3 linked regions of the Oryctolagus cuniculus genome follow. The protein of the gene in region 1 interacts with the protein of each later gene in a pairwise test. Links are inferred from orthologs where the notes say so. Each region holds a gene or a part of one and is shown on either strand. Other genes may lie near its edges. The genes, in order: PAK5, PSMF1 and PDLIM7.

Evidence for each region.
Region 2: the proteins of PAK5 (region 1) and PSMF1 interact in binary tests that used the Homo sapiens proteins (3 or more experiments, as listed by UniProt). The two-hybrid records come from large-scale screens. The link is inferred for Oryctolagus cuniculus from reciprocal best matches to the Homo sapiens genes PAK5 and PSMF1.
Region 3: the proteins of PAK5 (region 1) and PDLIM7 interact in a two-hybrid assay, tested with the Homo sapiens proteins (2 studies listed by BioGRID and IntAct). The two-hybrid records come from large-scale screens. The link is inferred for Oryctolagus cuniculus from reciprocal best matches to the Homo sapiens genes PAK5 and PDLIM7.

The regions. Positions count from the first base shown.
Region 1 is NC_091442.1:34,778,886-34,785,675, reverse strand, and holds the start of PAK5 (serine/threonine-protein kinase PAK 5), read left to right. Parts: upstream 1-2,438; 5' UTR 2,439-2,744; exon of another isoform or gene 2,745-2,977; intron 2,978-6,790.
Region 2 is NC_091442.1:27,108,624-27,114,636, reverse strand, and holds the end of PSMF1 (proteasome inhibitor PI31 subunit), read right to left. Parts: intron 3,680-6,013; coding exon 3,626-3,679; intron 2,627-3,625; coding exon 2,468-2,626; intron 1,944-2,467; coding exon 1,892-1,943; 3' UTR 1,530-1,891; downstream 1-1,529. UniProt on the Homo sapiens protein: Plays an important role in control of proteasome function. Inhibits the hydrolysis of protein and peptide substrates by the 20S proteasome. Also inhibits the activation of the proteasome by the proteasome regulatory proteins PA700 and PA28.
Region 3 is NC_091437.1:63,488,929-63,495,463, forward strand, and holds the start of PDLIM7 (PDZ and LIM domain protein 7), read right to left. Parts: upstream 3,653-6,535; 5' UTR 3,499-3,652; intron 2,957-3,498; exon of another isoform or gene 2,689-2,956; intron 2,600-2,688; 5' UTR 2,589-2,599; coding exon 2,493-2,588; intron 1-2,492. UniProt on the Homo sapiens protein: May function as a scaffold on which the coordinated assembly of proteins can occur. May play a role as an adapter that, via its PDZ domain, localizes LIM-binding proteins to actin filaments of both skeletal muscle and nonmuscle tissues.

The sequences.
Region 1 (6,790 bases):
TTGCATCAGTGTGAGCACACATACAAAGAAGTAAAAGTAGAAGCTATTTATGCAAAAAATTATAGGTGTATCAATGAGGATGGTGGGGGGGGCAGTGTTTTCAGGACTATATATGCAGCTTTGAAAGAGTAGAGATGAGTTTAAAGAATCCTACCCTTTAAATGGAAAATCAGAATATGACAGACCTGGACATATTTCTTCTTTACATATACAAATGTTAGAGAAGAAAAGTAATCATTCATTCATCCTGTGGTTCCGGTTTCCAGATGGCAGCTACTATATTGAGGGTACTGAGAAAACAGAGAACAAGCAAAGGGGAAATGATAAATATGCTGCTAACTAGACATCTGTCTAAAGTGATTGAGTATAATGGGATCCTAAGAGATATAGATCCTTATTTTGTAAACTGCTCTCCAGTTATGGGATCAGATACCATACGTACCTGCTCATAAGTTGGAGTGGCGGAGGACAGGCAAGGGTGTGAGTTCTTAATTTCCAAGGCTAAAGGCTCACAACTAGTTTGTAACTTTCTCTCACGTTAGAAGGAGCAGCAAGCATTGTTGATAATTCCAGGTGTTTCCAAGTATTTGGGAGGGAAGTGGGCAACTGGGGGATTTAAGATGAACCACAGGTCAGCCCCAACATCACTTAGCAAAAAGGCCTGTCATCTCTTAGACCAAAACACCCTTCAATCGCCATCATCTGTTGGGCTTCCTATTGGTCAAGCCCAGCTTGGCATTACACCTTATGAGAAATTGACATCCCCACACTCCAGGAAAAGCAGGGGACAGCCAAGCCAGACTGGCTCAGATTTGAGTGGAGCAGTTACACTTGCAACCAGTTTGCTAGCCCATTAGTAAAGTGAGGGTGAAGAGATGCCAGAACCACCTCTCTGGTAGGCGCAAGATTCTAAATCAGAAAGTAGCCAATTTGGGTTGGGCGGCCAACGCCTGGCCCTGCATAGAATCCTTTCAGGATAGCTGTGGCACCCTCAAGGACACACTTTCCCTTGGGTCTCCAAGCCATCTGAAGGCAGAAAGGGTTTCTGTGGACACCAGAGGCCATGGAATATTATGGGAAACATTTCTCTGTAGAGAAAAATATTATTACCTCAGATCTTTGTCTCACATGGAAGAAAAATTTCCAAGTGGACAAGCAGAGATTTAAAAAAAAAAAGATTTTATTTATTTATTTGAGAGGTAGAGTCACAGACAGAGAGAGGGAGAGACAGAGAGAAAGGTCTTCCTTCCGTTGGTTCACTCCCCAGATGGCCGCAGCAGCCAGAGCTGTGCCAATCCAAAGCCAGGAGCCAGGTGCTTCTTCCTGGTCTCCCATGCAGGTGCAGGGGCCCAAGGACTTGGGCCATCCTCCACTGCTTTCCCAGGCCATAGCAGAGAGCTGGATGGAAAGAGAGGCAGCTGGGACTCGAATAGGCGCCCACATGGGACGCTGGCACCATAGGTGGAGGATCAACCTAATGTTCCACGGAGCCTGCCCCAAGCAGAGAGATTTAAAAGCAAGATGTATTAGAGTTAAAAGACATCCAGCCAGAGTGGCATGGAGGGGGATCCAAGAAAGGAAAAAACTCGAAGTGGTCCGTGGCAGTTGAGTTTTTAAGCACATTTTTTTGGGGGGAGGAGAGGGAAACTTGGCAATCAGATTGACATTCAGTTACAAGGTGGAGACAAAACCTTTTTTGCAGTCCTTTACCTTGTCTGGCTTGCTCCTGATAAAACAAAAGAGCCATCACAAGGGTGGGATACCTAATTTATTTTACAGTAAACTGGGAGCTCAGAAGGGTGGAGTCCCCACTCCCTTGCTAGTCTCAAGATAATACTGGAAGCTCCCAAGGAGTGGGCAGGCTTGAACTTCTGACCTTGCTAAGGATAACTTTCCTGGGGAACGTTTTCCAGCCTCAGTTTCCAGGCTGCCTATAGAACCATCTGACTCCTCACAGCTAGACCCACGGAGGCACTGGCCAGTCACAGGTTGGGTGCTCTGGATCCTGGTTACTGCAGAGCGCTGGGAGGATCAGCGGACCCACCCCACCTGCGAAGTCGTTGGGCTTGCAGAGTCTCGGGCCCCAGCCAATTGAATGCGAATCTGCATTGTAAGTCACAGGCACACGGAAGTTGGAGAAGCCCTGGTCCAGGTGGTGGCAAAGAGGCCTGCATACTGATGAGCCTCTCAGCACCCCCCCCCCCCCCATTTCCACAGGCCTCCAAAGCTCCGCTCCGCCCTGCAACGGACCTGCCCAACATTTCTGCAAACCCCGAGTGTGTGCGGAGGGGCGTGCAGGAGTTCCCCTAGCCGAGGAAAGCCGACGGAAAGTAGGATGGGATCGGCTGCTTTCTACAGCTCTCCAGTGTAGACACTCCCCCCTCCCCCCATCTATGCCCTCCCCCCCCCTCCACCCTCCCCACCCCCAGCAGCGGCCGCGGCCTGCCCCCAGCCGGCTGCCGCGAAAACCCGGAACAGCTGCTTGCGCTCGTGGACAGTCCTCTCAGGGCGAAGCCCGACAGCTGGGCATGCTCAGTAGCTGGCGGAGGTTTGGGTGGAGAGTAGAAAGCTTTGGCTCTGCCTCCCACCCCCTCCCTCCGGCCCCCGCCCCCCTTGCCCCTACCCAGCCCGTAGTAGTTCCCCAGCGTGCGCCCGGAGAGACCGGGAACATGGCGCTCGGAGCGATGGAGCAGCTGAGGAGACGCGGCTGAGGCACCGCCGCTTCGCTGACAGACAAGCGCCAGGTAGGCGAGCGCGTCTGGCGGGGCTGCTCGGGTGGAGAACGGCGCGAGGAGGGGCGCCGGCGGGGATGCGCACGGCTGGTACCCAGGGCATCCTGCCTTGTCGGGGAAAGGATGCGAAGCGGACTCTGACAGCGCGATTGTGCATCTCCCAGAAGATGCCAAAGGCTGGGGACCGGCTGCCTGGATGGAGGGGAGGGATCCGGGGACCGCCCACTCCCCAACCCCCAGCCCATGCGCTACTACCCAGCCTGGGCTCTCCACGGGTCAAATAAAGGGTAGTTCCTCTCTGCCGGGCGGGAGGGCGTGCGGGAGAAGCCGGGAGACCAACCCTGGGAGCGCGCTGGTACCCCAAACCGCTAGCCAGCCCCGCACCGGTTCTTTGTGTAGACAGCGGCTGGGTTTGCCAGGGCGCCTGCTTCTCCCAGAGAGCGCTGGTCAGAGCGCCAGGGCAGGGTTCCCATATGGTGTTTGTCTTTTGGGCAGGTGTGGACTGGAAGATGCAATAGCTGAGCCTGTGTGGGGCTGTGTTTCTCTTTGTTATTTGCCTCGGTGTGCCTGCGCGCGTGGTGGGTTGTAATGGAGACAGACAACTTCTTCTGTGGGCACCAGTGCGGGCAGAGTGAGGAAGAGGATCTCGGTTCCAAACTCTTGTGAAAATTGTATGCCGTGTCAGCTTCCTGGAGGGTGAACTTGAAAAGTCTGGGGACCCTCTGTGCCCAGTTTGGAGGAGAAGTGTTCGCTCTTCCTCAAACCATGTGTGTGTGCTCCGGAGCTTTTAGCACGAGATGTGAGTTAATTCGTCAGCATCAGATGCTAATTATTTGAAGCATCAGCGCCAAGGCCAGAGTCATGAAGAAAAAGAGAAATTGACACAAAGCCAGTAAAGTGTCATCCTTAATAGCTGATGACAGCTTGGAAAGCGGGATATACTTTTGGGGCAATCAGGGAACGTGACATTCCACAGGGTTCTACCAAAACCCAGCCAGAGTCTTAGGTACCTCACAGGATCTCTCCGCCCGTGCTTTGCTCTTCCCGGGTTGAGTGGCGTGCACTCTGTCTTACCTGAGTCCCGATGGACCCGATGCTCTCCAGGAGCTCCGTCTACAGTAGGAATCTTTCACAGTGGCACTGGCAGAACAGCTTTGTACATCAGTTCTGTTCAGCAGCACAACTCACTGCGTTGGGGTGCAAAGGTAAATTTAAGTCATGCTTTATTTTTTGCTTTATAATATAAAGAGTAGACATCTGTGAATATGAAGTTTGGAGACACTTCCCTCCACCCTTTCTTTTTTTTTTTTTATGATCTTGTTAGGTGGGAAGAGTTAGTTTAATCAGAATGAAATGGGGGCTGCTTGAGGAAAAGGCATTTCAATTAAAGCCATTAACGTCCAATCTGATGGGTACTACTTGGAGTTGGGATAAATATATGCAAACCAGAAATGCTGCTAATGCAAGCAAGGGAATGTGCTTCGAGGCCATTGCTAGCATTGGCCAGTGTTCCTCTGTGATTGAGTAGATTGTACTCAGTCTCTGCAACTTGTTATTTTGTGAGTTTTAAATGCAGGTACTCCCTCTCCTTCACTTTATCAGAGCTTGCTGAAACACTGCCAGCTGAGAAGCAGGGGTTCCAGGTTATGGTATCGTGTTCTTTTTAAAAGATACTTATTTGAGAGGTGGAATTACAGACAGAGAGAAAGGTCTTCCATCCGCTGGTTCACTCCCCAGATGGCTGCAGTGGCCAGAGCTGAGCTGATCCAAAGCCAGGAGCTTCTTCCAGGTCTCCCATGCAGGTGCAGGAGCTCAAGCACTTGGGCCATCTTCCATTGCTTTCCCAGGCAATAAGCAGAGAGCTGCATTAGAAGAGGAGCAGCCAGGACACCCATATGGGATGCTGGCACCGGAGGCAGAGGCTTATTCTACTAGGCCACAATAGATATAGTCTTGGTTGATAACACAGAGCTGACTTTGCCCCGGCCTCTTTCAAGTTTAGATTTGTGGTCATGGGAAAGCTGTTTAACTTTCCCAAGCCTCAATTTTCTCATCTGTGAAACAGGCTTAGGAATAGTAGGACGTACTAAATGAGTAGGTATGAAGATTACTTATAAACCACCATAAAAATAGTGATGACCATTAAGAGAAAAGACATGTATGTTTATTGAACCCCCATTCTGTGCCCTGTATGAAACAAGGTTGTTTCAAATAGGTGATTTCATTTAAATCTTTGCAACCATTTTACTTCCTAGGGCTTCCATAGCAAACAACCGCACACTTGGCAGCTAAGAACCACAGAAACTGACCCTGTCCCAGTTCTGGAGGCTGGAAGTCCAAAAGCAGAGTCCACAGGACCTCGCTCCCTCCAAGGTCCTAACAGGGGATCTTCCTTTGCCACTTTCAGGTTCTGGCAGCCCCAGGTGTTCTTGGATATAACTTCAGTCTCTGCCGCTGTCTTCATGGGGCACATTCTTTCTGCGTGTCCTTGGATAAAAAACAATTCATCTTCATGTAAGGACATCATTCATATGAATTTAGGATGCACTCTAAATTAATATGACCTCCTTGTGATTACTTCTATGAGTAACTGATTCCCAAACAAGGTCTCATTCACAGCTTCTGGGTACACATGAATGTTTGGGAGACGCTTCTAAGGCCATTACAGCAACATAGACTGAAGAATTGTGTGTAATCACAACACAAGATGATGTCAACATAAGAGCAGAATATAAAGATAGAATAAAATGAGTTTAGAAAAAACTGAAGGACTGTTAAAACAATCTATCTAAGGTTTTATATCCCCAACTATGTTAGAGAAAACAGTATTCAAAAGTACGTCATTTATACAATGGTACTTCAGAAAACGTTTGTCAAAAAATGGCATTAAAAGACTACTTTTGCTGAAAAATTTTGAAATTTGTGCATAGAAATGTGTCCAAAATGTTCAGAGTATTCTGAATCTGCTCCGATTCTAGTTTCCTGCTAATGTGGACCCTGGGTGGCAGAAAATGATGGTTCAAATACTTGCATCCCTGCCATCCATGTGGGTGATTTGGATGGAGTTATCAGCTCCCAATTTTGATCTGGCCCAGCCCTATCCATGGCAGGCATTTGGGGAGGGGATCAGTGGGTCAGAGCTCTCCCTCTTTTCTCTTTTTACTTCTCTCTCTGTCAAATAAAAATATGCTCATGGGAAATGCATATTATGGGAATTATACTTGGGTTTCAAAAAACTTTTGCTCTGAAATAAACAGCCTTTAATGATACTTTTCCATTAACTTTTTGAAGTGCCCTCATGCATATCACTTATCTGGAAACCAAGACAATGTAGTACCAGGTCTTCTAGAGGCTTCTCAAAATGTAATCTTTCCAAACTGACTTCTGGAAGTTGCTGCTGCCTTGTTTTGCTACACTATTAACACTTGGAAAAGCAAACCAAAACAATAACAGCAACAAATATATCCTTACACTTTCTAGTCTTTGCTGATATCTTTTCATGTTAACATAATATTAATACAAAGAACAGATTCAATGTAATTCATAGACACAATTCTGAGAACATAAGGATATTCCCTTCCTCCCTCCCACCTTTCCTTTCTTCCTTCCTTCCTTAGTTCTTGAGATAACATATTTTTAATTAACATTATCCTGATGAATAACACACTGCCCATGAAATCACCCTAGCCAGAAATCCAAGAACTATCTTTGACACTCCATTTCTTCTCCACATCCCAAACTCACATGGTCATATAAACTCTGTCTCCTACTGATAGCTCTAAGTGTGTCTTGCTAGATTCTTCTTCCCATCCTTCTTATCACCATCAAACTTCAAGTCATCATCTGCCACGAGGACCACTAGTGTCCCTTTCTAAGGAGATCCCTGGTGCCTTGCTTGGAGCCTCCAACTCTTCACCAAGAGCAGATAGGATCATATCAATTTCCTGTGTAAAATGCCACTCATACAACTAAGACAATTTCCAGAGACTCCCAGAGGCTTGGACACTGAGCCAGCCACATCTTGGATATGTCTCTTTACTTTCCTCCTGTGTCATTTA
Region 2 (6,013 bases), about 7.7 Mb from region 1:
GCTCCTCCTTGATACAGGGAGACCCACGTAACAAACAACTGATTCTGAAGAGGAATCACTATATTTTCTGCTTCAGAAAACAGAAGTATGTGTATGATTGTATTTTCAAACTTTGCTCTAGAAAACGTAAGTGGAAAATTTATTATTAATCTTATTTTTTCCTTGAATCAGACACACTGATCTACCCTCCCTGCCTGATGTCTCCAGTCTGATGTTCCTTTTACAGATGCTTCCTGTTATAATAAAGGATGCTTTCATGAGCAAATCGCTCCCGATCCCTTTGGTTACAGGTATGATCTGATTCCCAAACCAGAACTCATATTTCACTAACCCACCAGCCCTCAAGGAAGGAGGTTATGAGCAAGGATGGCATCTGTGCCTCTGCCTGATATCTGGGTCTTTCCCTAAGTGCACAAATGTTCTAAGGGGTTCAAAGCTGTCAGCTACCTCTGGCGTCTTGGTGTTTGACATGGAAAGGGCCTGCTCCTGCAAGCCTCCCACCCTGGGCCTGAGGGTCAGTTTAGCTTACTGCTACCCATCCTCAGGCTGAGCAGAGGAGCAGCATAGAAACAGCCTAGCAGTGCTTCAGCAAAGCTACAGGAGCCTACTGCCCACAAGCAAGCAATACGTCCTAACTGCCGGGAGGGATCAGAAAAGCTGAGAAGTAAAAGGACCCCCACACATCTGAAACGCCAGTGGGGAAGCCAAAGTGACTAGTGCCTGGACCTGTGCCTCTGAACCGCAGCTGTAGGGTGCTCTTTCCACTGTAGCACAGGGGCTCATCACTGCCCACGTGGCAGGCCTCAGCCTGAAAAGGATCTGGAGAACACCAAATGTCAGGTGGGCATGGACACAGGACAGTGGCTTCCAGAGCTGGGGCTCCCTGTTCCTCCCGAATTTCACCACCACACTCAGACAGAGCCCATGCTGCCGTGATCTTGACTGGGCGAGGGACGAGAGAGAGGGAGACTCAGTAAGCAGTACCAGAGAGCCTTGACTTTCAGTCTGCTCCTTCGGCCCAGTTCCTAGGGGCCCCAGCCAGAGAAAGCAGCACTGATGTTTCAGGGCAGGGAAGGATCTCTCATTTCATAGGTGGGCGAGAGGCCTAAAAGGTGGGACTTGCTTAGGGTCACTCAGTGAGTTAGGGCAAAAATGAGATTAGCCTCTAGGTCTGTTCTGTTTATTCCTCTGCTTATCAGGCTACTGCTGCCCAGGGGCAGATGGAGCTGAGGGCCGGCCCAGAACAGGAATACGGGAGGACTGTGCCCTTGTCAGAGTGATGCAGTCTTTCCACAGTGTGCCTGCCCTGTCCTAGGAGACCAGTGCATTTCTAGTCACTCATTTTCTATCCAAGGAGTCGGACCCATCTTAGCGATCTCAGGAGCAACAGCAGTTTATGAGCGCAAGTGCCTGAGAAGCAAGAGCAGGCCCTGGGCGGGAAGAGAGTTGCTGGGCCCTACAAAGACTAAAACTCTAAAGCCTTGTCACCAGAAGGAGCTGTGTGCATCAAAGCAAAAAGAAAAGTGAGAGACCGGCAACGTGAATTTTGTATTGACATTTGGTTCTTCATAATAACATCCAAAATGCGTTCTGTTCTTATAGCGCTGTGACTGGGACTCCGTCGGGTGGAGGGTTTATGTTGCCGGAGGCTCCCTTGGAAAGTAGGGAGGAGCTGATGGTGTGAGATCTTTGGGACCTAAGGCAGCCGGGTGGAGAGCTGCAGCAAGTGCCTCAGCTCTGATAAGGGGAGGGGAGGCAACCCCAGCCGGCCAGCAAACACATGGGCAGAGTCCCTGGGCCCCAGCCCGCAAGAACACGGTTGCTGACGGGGCCAGTGGTGGCAGCTCCAGGAGAGTGGAGAGAAGGCTGGGATGTTACATTCTTGAGGCCTTCACAGGTACATGTCATCGTAGCCCGGCGGGGGGAGATGGTCTGGGTTAGGTCTGGAATGGAAAGAGGGGCTGGTGAGTCGGAGTGCGGGAGGGGCCGGAGCACACAGGCGGATGGAGCCTGCCCCCAGGGTGCTGTGGTGGAGCGCGGCAGTTCAGACCACGACTCAAGAGCCTGGGTTTGATTTCTGAGTCCCTCACCCGGGGTCAGTGACCTCAGCTTTCAGAGCCTCAATGTCTGCATCCATAAACATGAGGATAGTACCACCTACCCAAGACTGCTGACAGAGGATACAATGAGTCTGACACATGCTTAACTTCTAGTTAGGGGTAGCTCTTCCTCCTTCTGAGTCCTCCCTGGAGGGGAGCTAGGGGAAGGGAGGCACTCAGAGATGGCGAGCTCCTGGAAGGCTCTATGGAGGCAGCAGACAGCACCACGGTAGAGGCTCTACCGTCTCGGCATCAGTGGGTGGAGGCAATGGCAACTCTGCTCCTGGTTTCAGAGACTTTAGCTGCCACTACACGGAACTGAACTGCCATCAGGTCCCGCTTCTCAGCATACCTGGGTGAATACCTACCCTGATGGGCTGGTCCCAATGGGTCCAAAGGGGTCAAAGCGAGCTCCTGGGGGTACAGCGCCTGGCGGAAGCCGGTTCGGGAGGCCTGAGGATGGGTCAATAAGTGCTCTTGGGAAGCCAGATCTCAGGGGATCCACAATCATGCCACCTCTCCGACACCTGAGGCAAGAAGGCAAACTGGGTAAGCAGCCATGGCAAGGACTGCCCTTCAAGCAAAGGTGAAGAAAGGGGGCGTGGATGAAGACTGACCGTGTCCACTCTGAGGGTCTGACAGTCATGTGAATGGTGCCTGAAAGCCAGCAGGAAGCTGGCAAAAGCAAGAATGCTAAGGGACTGTACTTTTGGTTCTGTAGGCCTCCCTGAGCCTACTGAGAACCCTTGTTATGTCCTATACCCAAGCGGGGTGATCTGATCAAGAACAGGAGCTGGAACTGGCTAAGGTCAATACAGAGCTGTCACAAGGCTCTACAGGGCATATGTTAGGTTGAAGGACTAATAACTAAAAACAACCCATGAAGCCAGTTTCTTTGGCTCTGTTTCCCTTTTGGGCCTCAGAGCCATCTGAGCCTGCCTGTAGGTTGCCCAATTCTGGCTCCTGACAGCATCTGTCCCCCAAGGAGTTCCATGAACCTGACCTCACATGCTCCAACTAGGAGAGTGAGCTGCTATTCCCCCGAGGTCACTGTTCAGGCTGCACTGGAGAGTTAAGTGACTTCCCCTCTATCTAAAGAGGAGATGTCTAAGTTGGGGTCACCTTGCAGCAGAGGCTAAATCCAGTCTGAATTCTGCAGAGCAGACAGTGCATAGCCGAGGCAGCAGTAACTTTATGGGGTGTATGGCAAGGATCACAGACAGTCTAACGAGGCTCAAAGACTCCCTTTATCTAGCGGGGCAACCTCACAACAACCCTGAGCAACGTTCAACTCAGCGGCCCACTGTGTGCTCCTCCATCAGTGCCTGGGCAATCCTGAGGCGGCCCCCGTGCTGCACTCGGGCGCTGCTATGGGCACGACGCACAGTCAACACCAGGGCTTGCTCAGCCGCTTGGCAACAGCTTCCTCCTCCACCCCAAAGGAAAGCCTCAAATTAGAAGATGAGCTGGGGCTGAGAAGCCACGGGAGCCGGTTAGGTTGCTGCCACCTCCCCAGCAGTACTCACCCAAAGGGGTCTAGGTCTTCTCCCCCGACGGCAAACGGGCCCAGGGGATCACACCTGAAACAAACAAGGAACAATTACCACACGTCACAGAGCAGCCAGGCGCCAGGCAGCCAGGGGCTCGAACCCAATGCCTGCAGGGTCAGAAAGGCACTTCCAGGCAAGGGGGACGGGTCCCTGCAAGAGACCGTAACACAAGGAAGGGATCCTTCCAAGGGGTCCTTGGCACAGATGAATACCAGTATTATAGCAGCAATTACGTGAAAAGGGCTCATCACAAAGCTAACCACATGGAGAATCTGCCTGTTTAAAGCTAAAAATATTAACAATGGTAACCTCCACATAAATTCTATTTTATTCGACCCTTTCTCTGTATAATGAACAAAGAACTTTTCATCAGAAAGTTATTCTAAAACCCAAACCCCAAAGCTCAGGTTTAAATGCTTCCCAGGAGTAACAAAGGCACGGAGTCTCAGCAGCCGGAGCTGTGCCTCTTATGTTTGTTCACCGTGGGTCTTGCATGAGCTCTTCCACTACTACACTGCACTGTTTAGGCACTGGAGCCCTCTGGAGCGTCATGGGCCACAGCCACTGTCAGTTCTCAACAGTCTCCTCTCCAGTCCCCCCACAAAGCCTGTTTTTGCCTTCACTGACACTGTGAGCTGTGAAAAGGAGTGGCTACTTTCTGGAGGACAACTCAACATCCTCTCTCTAATGCATACACAAAATAGAACCTGGCTTTTGGAAGTCTTGTGTAGCTTTATATTGAGCCAATAGTTAAATGCCTAAGTATCCATCTTAAATTAAGAATACAGAATTCAAATGAAAATATATCTAACAAAGACTTTAAGCAAGGAAATTGGCATCAGCTTAAATGGGGACCAGTCTGGTATCACGTGGTATACTCCTAAATGCAGCCATGGAAACAACAGAAACAATGTCCTCAGAATGTTTTCAAAATGCTTTTTCTCAAGTGTGAAGTGCGGGTGTGGGGAGGATTATCAACAGCAATGGGAAATCAACTGTGAAAAGTACGTGTGTGGGGGCGTGTATGTGTAAACAGAGCTACAAAGAGGCATTCTCAGAGTGTAAACAGTGACAGCACTCCTGGATGGGGAGTTTCTTCTCCACACCCTCCTGTGATTTTCTATACAGGATCTGTATACAGTAAGGCAGAGAATTAGTATTGAAGAAAATGTGCTTTGGAATCTGCTTGGAGCTCTGCAAGCAGTACAAAGCCAACAGTTCTGGGGTTCCCGCAGCTCCTGCCAGAACACAGGGTCGCTTGATACACAGCAGCTACCCTACACTTACAGGAAAGAAGCCATTAATTAGAGAACTGGGAAGAAATCCAAACAGGCGCTTCTCCATCGGTTTCACCTAATGGGCTGAAAAGGATATTGCAACTGAAGCAGATCAGGCCAGGTTTCCAAAGGAAGGAATTATTCGTGACCTAGGTTATTGTTCCCAGGCCACGGCTCACGGAGCTAGTAGTCAATGTTATTGGTGGCCTCCGACATCCTGCCTCACTGGAGACAGACCAGGCGGTGCCAGAGGGCACCCTGCCCACTACAGAATGGAAACAGGGGGGCTTTTGGTGGCTGTTAAAACGCCTCCAAGTAAAGGGCCTTGACTGCTCCTAATTTCTGGACCACAGCGTGTGGGAAGGGAGAAGAAAGACAACAGTGAAGGCTAGAAAGGCAGCCACAAGTTCCACTCTGCTAATCTGCGCCCTTGAAATTTCACAGCACATTCAGCAGTCACTACAACCCACGCACATTTTGGTGAACTCACAATGCACAAGCTTAGAATCTGACAAAAACAACACAGGGGGTCCGTCACCTCCCTCAGAGCCCCCTTGGCCGACCCTCAGTTTGGATGTGTGGAGATGAACTTATGGGCATTCAAATGCAAGTCATTTTTGTACAAGGATACTTTGAAACATTGTGGGGGGAGGGAATGCAATAAAAAATGTTATGATGCAAAAAATCTTTGAAATCACACATACTTTTTTCATAACTGCATTTTTCATGACATTTTTGAAGACCTCTTGTATGCATGGATTTTAAAATATGTTTGCATAGAAATAAACTTCCCTTTTAATCTCATTTCCCATAGACTTTCTGAGGCAGCCTCGCCTCATCCAGGGCCTCTGAATGCAAGCTTCTAGTGCTCACCTGCTGATCAGCTGCAGGGAAGAACCAGCTGCTCTAAGCTGTCAGGAAACAGGCCGGGGCTGGACCCACTGGGGAAGTACCTCCCAGCGGAAAAGTGGCCTGCTAAGCGGCTGGGGTGATCTTGAATGCCAGGGATGTCTTCCTCATGTGCTCCCCTTTCCTTTCCTGTAAAACCCACATGCCTTGTCTGGGCATGGAAACCAGCTGCTGCCCT
Region 3 (6,535 bases), on another chromosome or scaffold:
AGCTCCTAGCTCCTGGGGTGGGGCTGTTCTAGAGAGAGGACAGAGACTGGGACGAGGAGGGGAGCTGGGCTTGCCGCTCAATTCCATGCTTGCGTGCGGTTAGAAGTGTGACAGCCCCGGGCAGTCCCTTCTTCACTGGCCAAGGACCAACCAGCAAGGATAGCAGCCTGCATTTAATGAGCACCTGGCATTGCCATAGATACTGAACTCTCCCACAAGCTTGGGGAGGAGTCTTCGATTATACAGTTTACACACGGGAAAACAGAGAGGTTAAGCAATTTGCCTCAAGTCACCCAGCTGATAAGAGGCAGAGACAGGAAGTGACCCTATCCCTAAGATTCTACCACTCTAGGCTATCTCTGCTGAATGGGGCGTACTGAGGGGTCAGTCCACCTGGAAGGACTCCCTCCTGGGCGGCTGGCTTTGGGACCCGGCTCCTGTATGTCCGTCCACCTTTGGTTCAGTCAGGTCTCTTACAGTGGGATGAGGAAGTGATGCCCTCGAGGGGAAGTGACTTACTCCCGGTCACCAGTGAGTCAGTAGAACCTGGCCCGGCCACTCCCTCCCCACACTGGGAGGTGCGGGTGAGCGTGTGGCGGGGGCCTTGGAGTAAGCCAGGATCAGCTGGCCCAGAGCAGGAATGAGGGTCAGGGACCACTTCCTTCCTGGGACTGGGAAGACAGGAAGTTTGAGGGGGTGGCGGGTGGTGAGTGGGAGTGGGGGGAGTGGAAGCAGAAGAGATGGGGAAGGCAGCTGGCAAAAAAAAAAAAAAAAAAAAGCAGGGAGCAGCTCAGGCCAGGGGCAGGGCAAGGCCAGAGAGACAAGGAGGAGAAAAGCCAGGGGGCTGGACACAGGAGAGGGGGGCGTGAGTCAGCCCAAGGGCTCCACTGGGCAGCCCAACCCCTCCCCCCACCAGTCTCAGACGTTACCTCATCTCCCAGGCCTGGGCCCACAGCCAGCCCTCGCCCCTCCCGCCTCCCTTCATTCTGGGGTCAGGAGAAGAGGAGGGGGCTGGCCCAACGCTGAAAAAGACCACTTCCATCCACCCACCACCAGGGCCTGGGTCCAACTCCAAGGCTGGGCTTAGCTGCTGGTCCCACCCCTGGGCTGGGGCGGCAGACAGGGGAGCCTGGGCCCACAGTGCCCCCCGCAGGCCACATCTGAAAGATCACTCTCATCAGCAAAGAGGTGAGGCGGAGACCAGTCCGACCAAGTCTCCCAGCCACATGGGGTGGCATTTTCCCAGGGAGGGGGATGCAGGGTAGGTTTCAGGGTGGAGTGTGTGTGTGTGTGTGTGTGTGTGTGTGTGTGTTAGGGACCTGCCTGCCCCAAAACTCTGCAGAAAGATACCGGGGGGCAGAACACTGCCTGCCCCGGCCACCAGGCCAAACCGCCACGAACAGACTCTGCCCTGGGCCTCTCTCAGACTGCCTGGTGCCTGGACAACACTCAGGCCCCTCAGGCTGGGCTTGCCCTGGGCTTCCTGCCAACAGCTGTCTGCCCACCAGGCGGCTGGGTGGGCCTCCCTGCACTGGCGGATGTAGGGGCAGGAAGTCCCCGCCCCCTCCTGACCCCCAGGCCAGAGAGAGAGAGAGAGAGAGGGACTGGCCCAAGTGCTGGCCTCACTGCTCTGGGCGGGTGGTTTCTTTTCTGGGTCCCAGGAGTCACAGCCTGGCCACCAGGGGAGGGGGCTCGGAGGTCCAGGCACAGGCCAGCCCTTTTCAGCTAGGTAGACTCCAGCCACTGTTGGCCATCCCAGCCTGGGGCTGCATTCTTGGGCTTATAAGGCAATCCCCCTGCCATGGGGAGGAGCCAGCCACCAGCTCCGCCCCACCAGGGCAGGCTCTCAGGAATTTGGGTCCCAGCCCTACAGCCTAGCCTCACCACACCTTCGCTCAGGGTCAAAGGCCACTACATCCTAAACCAGGACCAGTTGGATGGAGACACAGGTCCTCTCATTGACTTGGGGACCTGTAAAACCCGCAGGCTGTCCTTGCCCAGTTTCAAATCTCTGCTTTGCCGTGGACAAGCCCTCCACCATTCCAAGTTCCCTCCTTTGGACAAACAGGATGGCAGCTGCTATCCCCTAGGTGGCAGTGAGGCGGTGGTAAGATTCCACAGGGTGCTCTGCCTGGGGCCAGGCTCCCGAGCACTGTTCTCAAGTTTAGATCCTTGCTGAATTCATCAAGCTCCCTCCCACACCAATGGGCCTTCTCCCTTCTGCTCGGCCCCCAGAGGTGACCGCAGAGGCTCGGTGAAGTGGCATCAGGTACAGTGCACAGATATGGGAGTCTGGGGGCTCCACTCCCCTGTCTACCTAGGCAGGGGTCCTGGGAGTAGGCAGCCACCACTTTTCTGGACCTGGACAGACACCTCCTGGCCTGCTGACACCTGGGCCTCCTGCTTAGATTCCCCCTGGAGACCTGAGCAATCAAAGACAACCTTCCCACCCCACCGCCGCTATTCGGAGCCCCTCTCCCAACCAGGCTTACCCGGGAGATGGAGAGGGGCACATTGAAGTCCTTGCCCCCTTGCAGCCGGAAGCCCCACGGTGCTGGACCCTCTAGCAGTACTTTGAAGGAGTCCATGGTGTCGGCTCCTGAGAGGAGAAATGGGAAAGTGAGCGTCCCAGCTGCGGACGCTAGCCTTGAACAGGTGCCAAGCAGGCAAGACAGACACTGAGCGCACCCCAGGCCCGGGTGGGCACGTATCTGGCCAGGCTAGGCTGTGAGGCTGGCTGGCAGACCTCACTTCCAAAAAAAAAAAAAAAAACAGACAAGGGCAGCCCCCCGCCCAGGGCCTGGGAGGGTGAACCTTTCCCAGGCTTAAAGTTCTCGGTATCCACGGGTGGGACTAATTTGGCACGGCTTCCCCCCAAGCCAGCCTGGAGCCTCGGGCAGCGGGGTGAGTCAGGGGCCGGCTCTCGGCTCCCCCGCCCCCAGGTCCCGGCAGGCAGGCCGCGGCTGCAGCCTGCTCGGACTATATAAGGCGTGTAAGCTGATACTGCGCGGAGAGCAGTGGAGGGAGCCACGGGGGCTCCGCGCGAGGGGGAGGGGTACGGGCGCGAGGCGCCTGGAGCGCGTCCTGGCCATTCCAGGGCAGGTCGAGGCTTTTGGGAGCCGGGGCGGGACCCCTTGGGCGCTCTGAGCGGTTGGGGGCAGGAGTGGGACGAGTCTCCAGCGGAGAGCAGTGGGGACCCCAAAACGTGGCCAGGAAGGGGAGCTACGCTGGTGCCTCCCGCACAGGACTGTGCCCGCCCTGCCGTGACTCAGTTTCCCTCCAGCCCCCAGCCCAGGCACCATGCAGCGGCGCAGGCGCCAACCGGCCCCGCCACAAGCGGGCTTCGCCGCAGGAAGGCGGGGGCGGGGGCGGAGGCAGGGGCCGAACCCGCAGGAGCAGGCCCAGCGCCGGCCAAGACCCCCAGTGCGCTCCGTAGTCTTCAGAAGGCCCCCGGCCCCCGCCTGGTTCGGACCAAGAGCCCCGCGCGTCCGCCGGTACCTGCTCTGCCCCGCCGGGGCGCTGCTCCGCGGCGGGCTCCTAGGAGCCGCGCTGGAATCGGATCGGCAGACCGCGTTCTGGCCCCGCCCCCGCGGACACCGCCCGCTTTGAGCCTGTGGAAGGGGGCGGAGTGGGAGACCACGCCCTCCGCGTGTCCACACCCACAGGCGGTCGCTCTGCCGGGGGAGAGCCCCACCCAAGCTTTCCGCCTTGTCCAATCACGAAGCCCCGTCTGGCTCTGAGCACACGGCGCTGCCCGCCCCTTCTCCTTGAGCGGGGCAGGGCCTGGGCGGGGCCTGGCTGCGGGACGCCGCGTCGGGAGGACTTTGCTCCGCCCACGCCTCGCCCCGCCCCCTGCGCCTCCCGCCAGCAGGGGAGAGAGACCTTCGAAGCCAGGCCCCACTGGACGTTAGCCGTGTCCTCGGGAAAATGGGGCGCTAGTGCTCCCCAATTGGGGTTGCCAGAGGGTCGGTATGGGGGCGTCGGGGTGAGGAAGGATGAGAGGGACGAGGAGTGACCGTGCAGCTGCATTTGCCGTGGACAACCTGAGTGGACGAAGCTGGAGGGCGTCCTCGGCTCGGCCTCGCGCCGGTCTCCGGAGCTCGGAGCCCGGCCCCACGCGCAGCGCATGCACCGTGGTGAGCGCCCGGCGCCCACGCTCCTCCGCTTTACAGACATTCTCTCCTGAACCCACGCCCCTCCGCGGCCCCCAGTCCTAGAGGGGCACGCACTGGTCGCTGCGGCCCCGGTTGTTCCTGGTGACCTGTAGCAGTCTCCTAATGGGCCCCTGCTTTCACCCTGGTCCCCTCCGGGGCCTTCTCCAAGGACCAGCTCAACTGATACTGTTAAAGGGAACTCACACTCAGCTTTTAGCATTCCAGTAGGCTCAAAACTAAGCCTTAAGACTCATGTAACTTGGGGGCCACGCTGTGGCATAGCAGATAAAGCCGATATGGGCGCTGGTTCCAGACCTGGCTGCTCCACTTCCGATCCAGCTCTCTGCTATGGCCTGGGAAAGCAGTAGACAATAGCCCAAGTCCTTGGGCCCCTGCACCCACATGGGAGACCCAGAAGAAGCTCCTGGCTCCTGGCTCCTGGCTTCGGGTCGGCCCAGCTCTGGCCGTTGCAGTCATCTGGGGAGTGGACCAGCAGATGGAAGACCTCTCTCTCTCTCTTTCTCTCTGCCTCTCCTTCTCTCTGTGTGTAACTCTGACTTTCAAATAAATAAAGAAGACTCATATAACCGTAGTAAACAGGGCCCATTGCTCGCTCACTCTGCTCTAGCCAGGTGGCCTCCTCACTGTTCCTCCATGTGCCAAGGATGTTCTGGCCTCAGGGCCTTTACACGGATCATTCTGGCTGCTTTCAGTTTGCTCAAGTCTCCGCTGAGATGCTGCCTGCTCTAAGGGGTCTTCCCTGGTCACCATCTGTAACAGCAATTCACAGTACACACTGGTCCTTTTACCCTGCTTTTAAAGTTTTTATTCCATTTGCTGGTTCACCCCCAAAATGTCCAAAACAGCTAGTGCTGGGTCAGGTTGAAGCCGGAAGCCCGGAATTCCATCCAGGTCTCCCGCATAGGTGACAGGGACCCAAGGACTTTAACCATCAACTGCTGCCTCCCAGAATGTGCATTAACAGGGAGCTGAATCAGAAGAGTAGATGGAGCCAAACCAGGCACCCTGATGAGGGGCGTGGGGTGCCCCAAGAGGGGGGACTTAGCCTCTGTGCCCAACACCCGCCCCTCTTATCCCCTTGCACTTTCCACCCTCTGATGTTAAACATTTGTGTCTTTCAAAAAAAAAACAGATTATTTGAAAGGCAGAGTTACAGAGAGGCAGGGGCAGAGGTCTTCCATCCACTGGTTCACTCCCCAAATGGCCGCAACAGCCAGAGCTGGGCCAGTCCAAAACCAGGAGCCTCTTCGGAGTCTCCCATATGGGTGCAGAGGCCCAAGGACTTGGGCCATCTTCTACCTACTATCCCAGACCATAGCAGAGAGCTGGCTCAGAAGTGGAGCAGCTGGGATTCAAACCGGCACCCATATGGGATGCCGGCACTGCAGGCGGCAGCTTTACCCACTGTGCCATGTTTGTTTCTTAGTTGTTGCCTGTTCCCATCAGAATGTCAGTCCCCGGTGTCGCTCCCCCTCTTCGTGGAGGAACGACACTAAGCCCTGCCTAGGCTTCATATCCGAGTCACGGCACCATTATGTCGCTCCCCCTCTTCGTGGAGGAGCAACACAGGACCCTGCGCTGTTCTTTCGTCTGCTCGGCCCTCCCCGGGTTTGCTGCTGGTTCTTCCCGGGTTGGCTACTATCCCTTCCACCTCCGTGGAAGGGCAGTTCCCCCTGGCCACATTCCCCACTTCCGCAGGGGAGCGGCACACCGCCGGCCGGTTCTCTCGGGGGCTGCACGGGTTCCCTTAGATGTTCCCCATAGATGTTCCCCGTGCATGCCGTCTCTCTCCTCCTTTATAGTCCTCCTCCGCCAATCCCAACTCGGCTGCCCACACGCCGAGTACGCTGCTCTCCTCCAATCAGGAGCAAGTCCTACAATTTATTAGTTGAACTGGAGGCAGCTGTGCAGAAGCTGTTTACTTCTCTCCCAGCGCCATATTGTGGGAGAGCAGATGCATAGAATAAGTCTTAATTCGAGTAACCTAGTCTAGTCCGGATTGCTCCCCACACCCGGAGACCAGGACTCTGTGTCTTGTCCCGCATGTCGCTGTGTACCTGCATGCAGTGTGAATGAGCAGATGAAGAACAGATTGAGAAAGGGAAGCAGGTGGCTGGCGCCGCGGCTCACTAGGCTAATCCTCCACCTGCGGCGCCGGCACATCGGGTTCTAGTCCCGGTTGCCCCTCTTCCCGGCCAGCTCTCTGCTGTGGCCCAGGAGTGCAGTGGAGGATGGCCCAAGTGCTTGGGCCCTGCACCCGCATGGGAGACCAGGAGAAAGCACCTGGCTCCTGGCTTCGGATCAGCGTTGTGCGGCGGCTGCGGCGGCCATTAGAGGGTGAACCAACGGCAAAAGGAAGT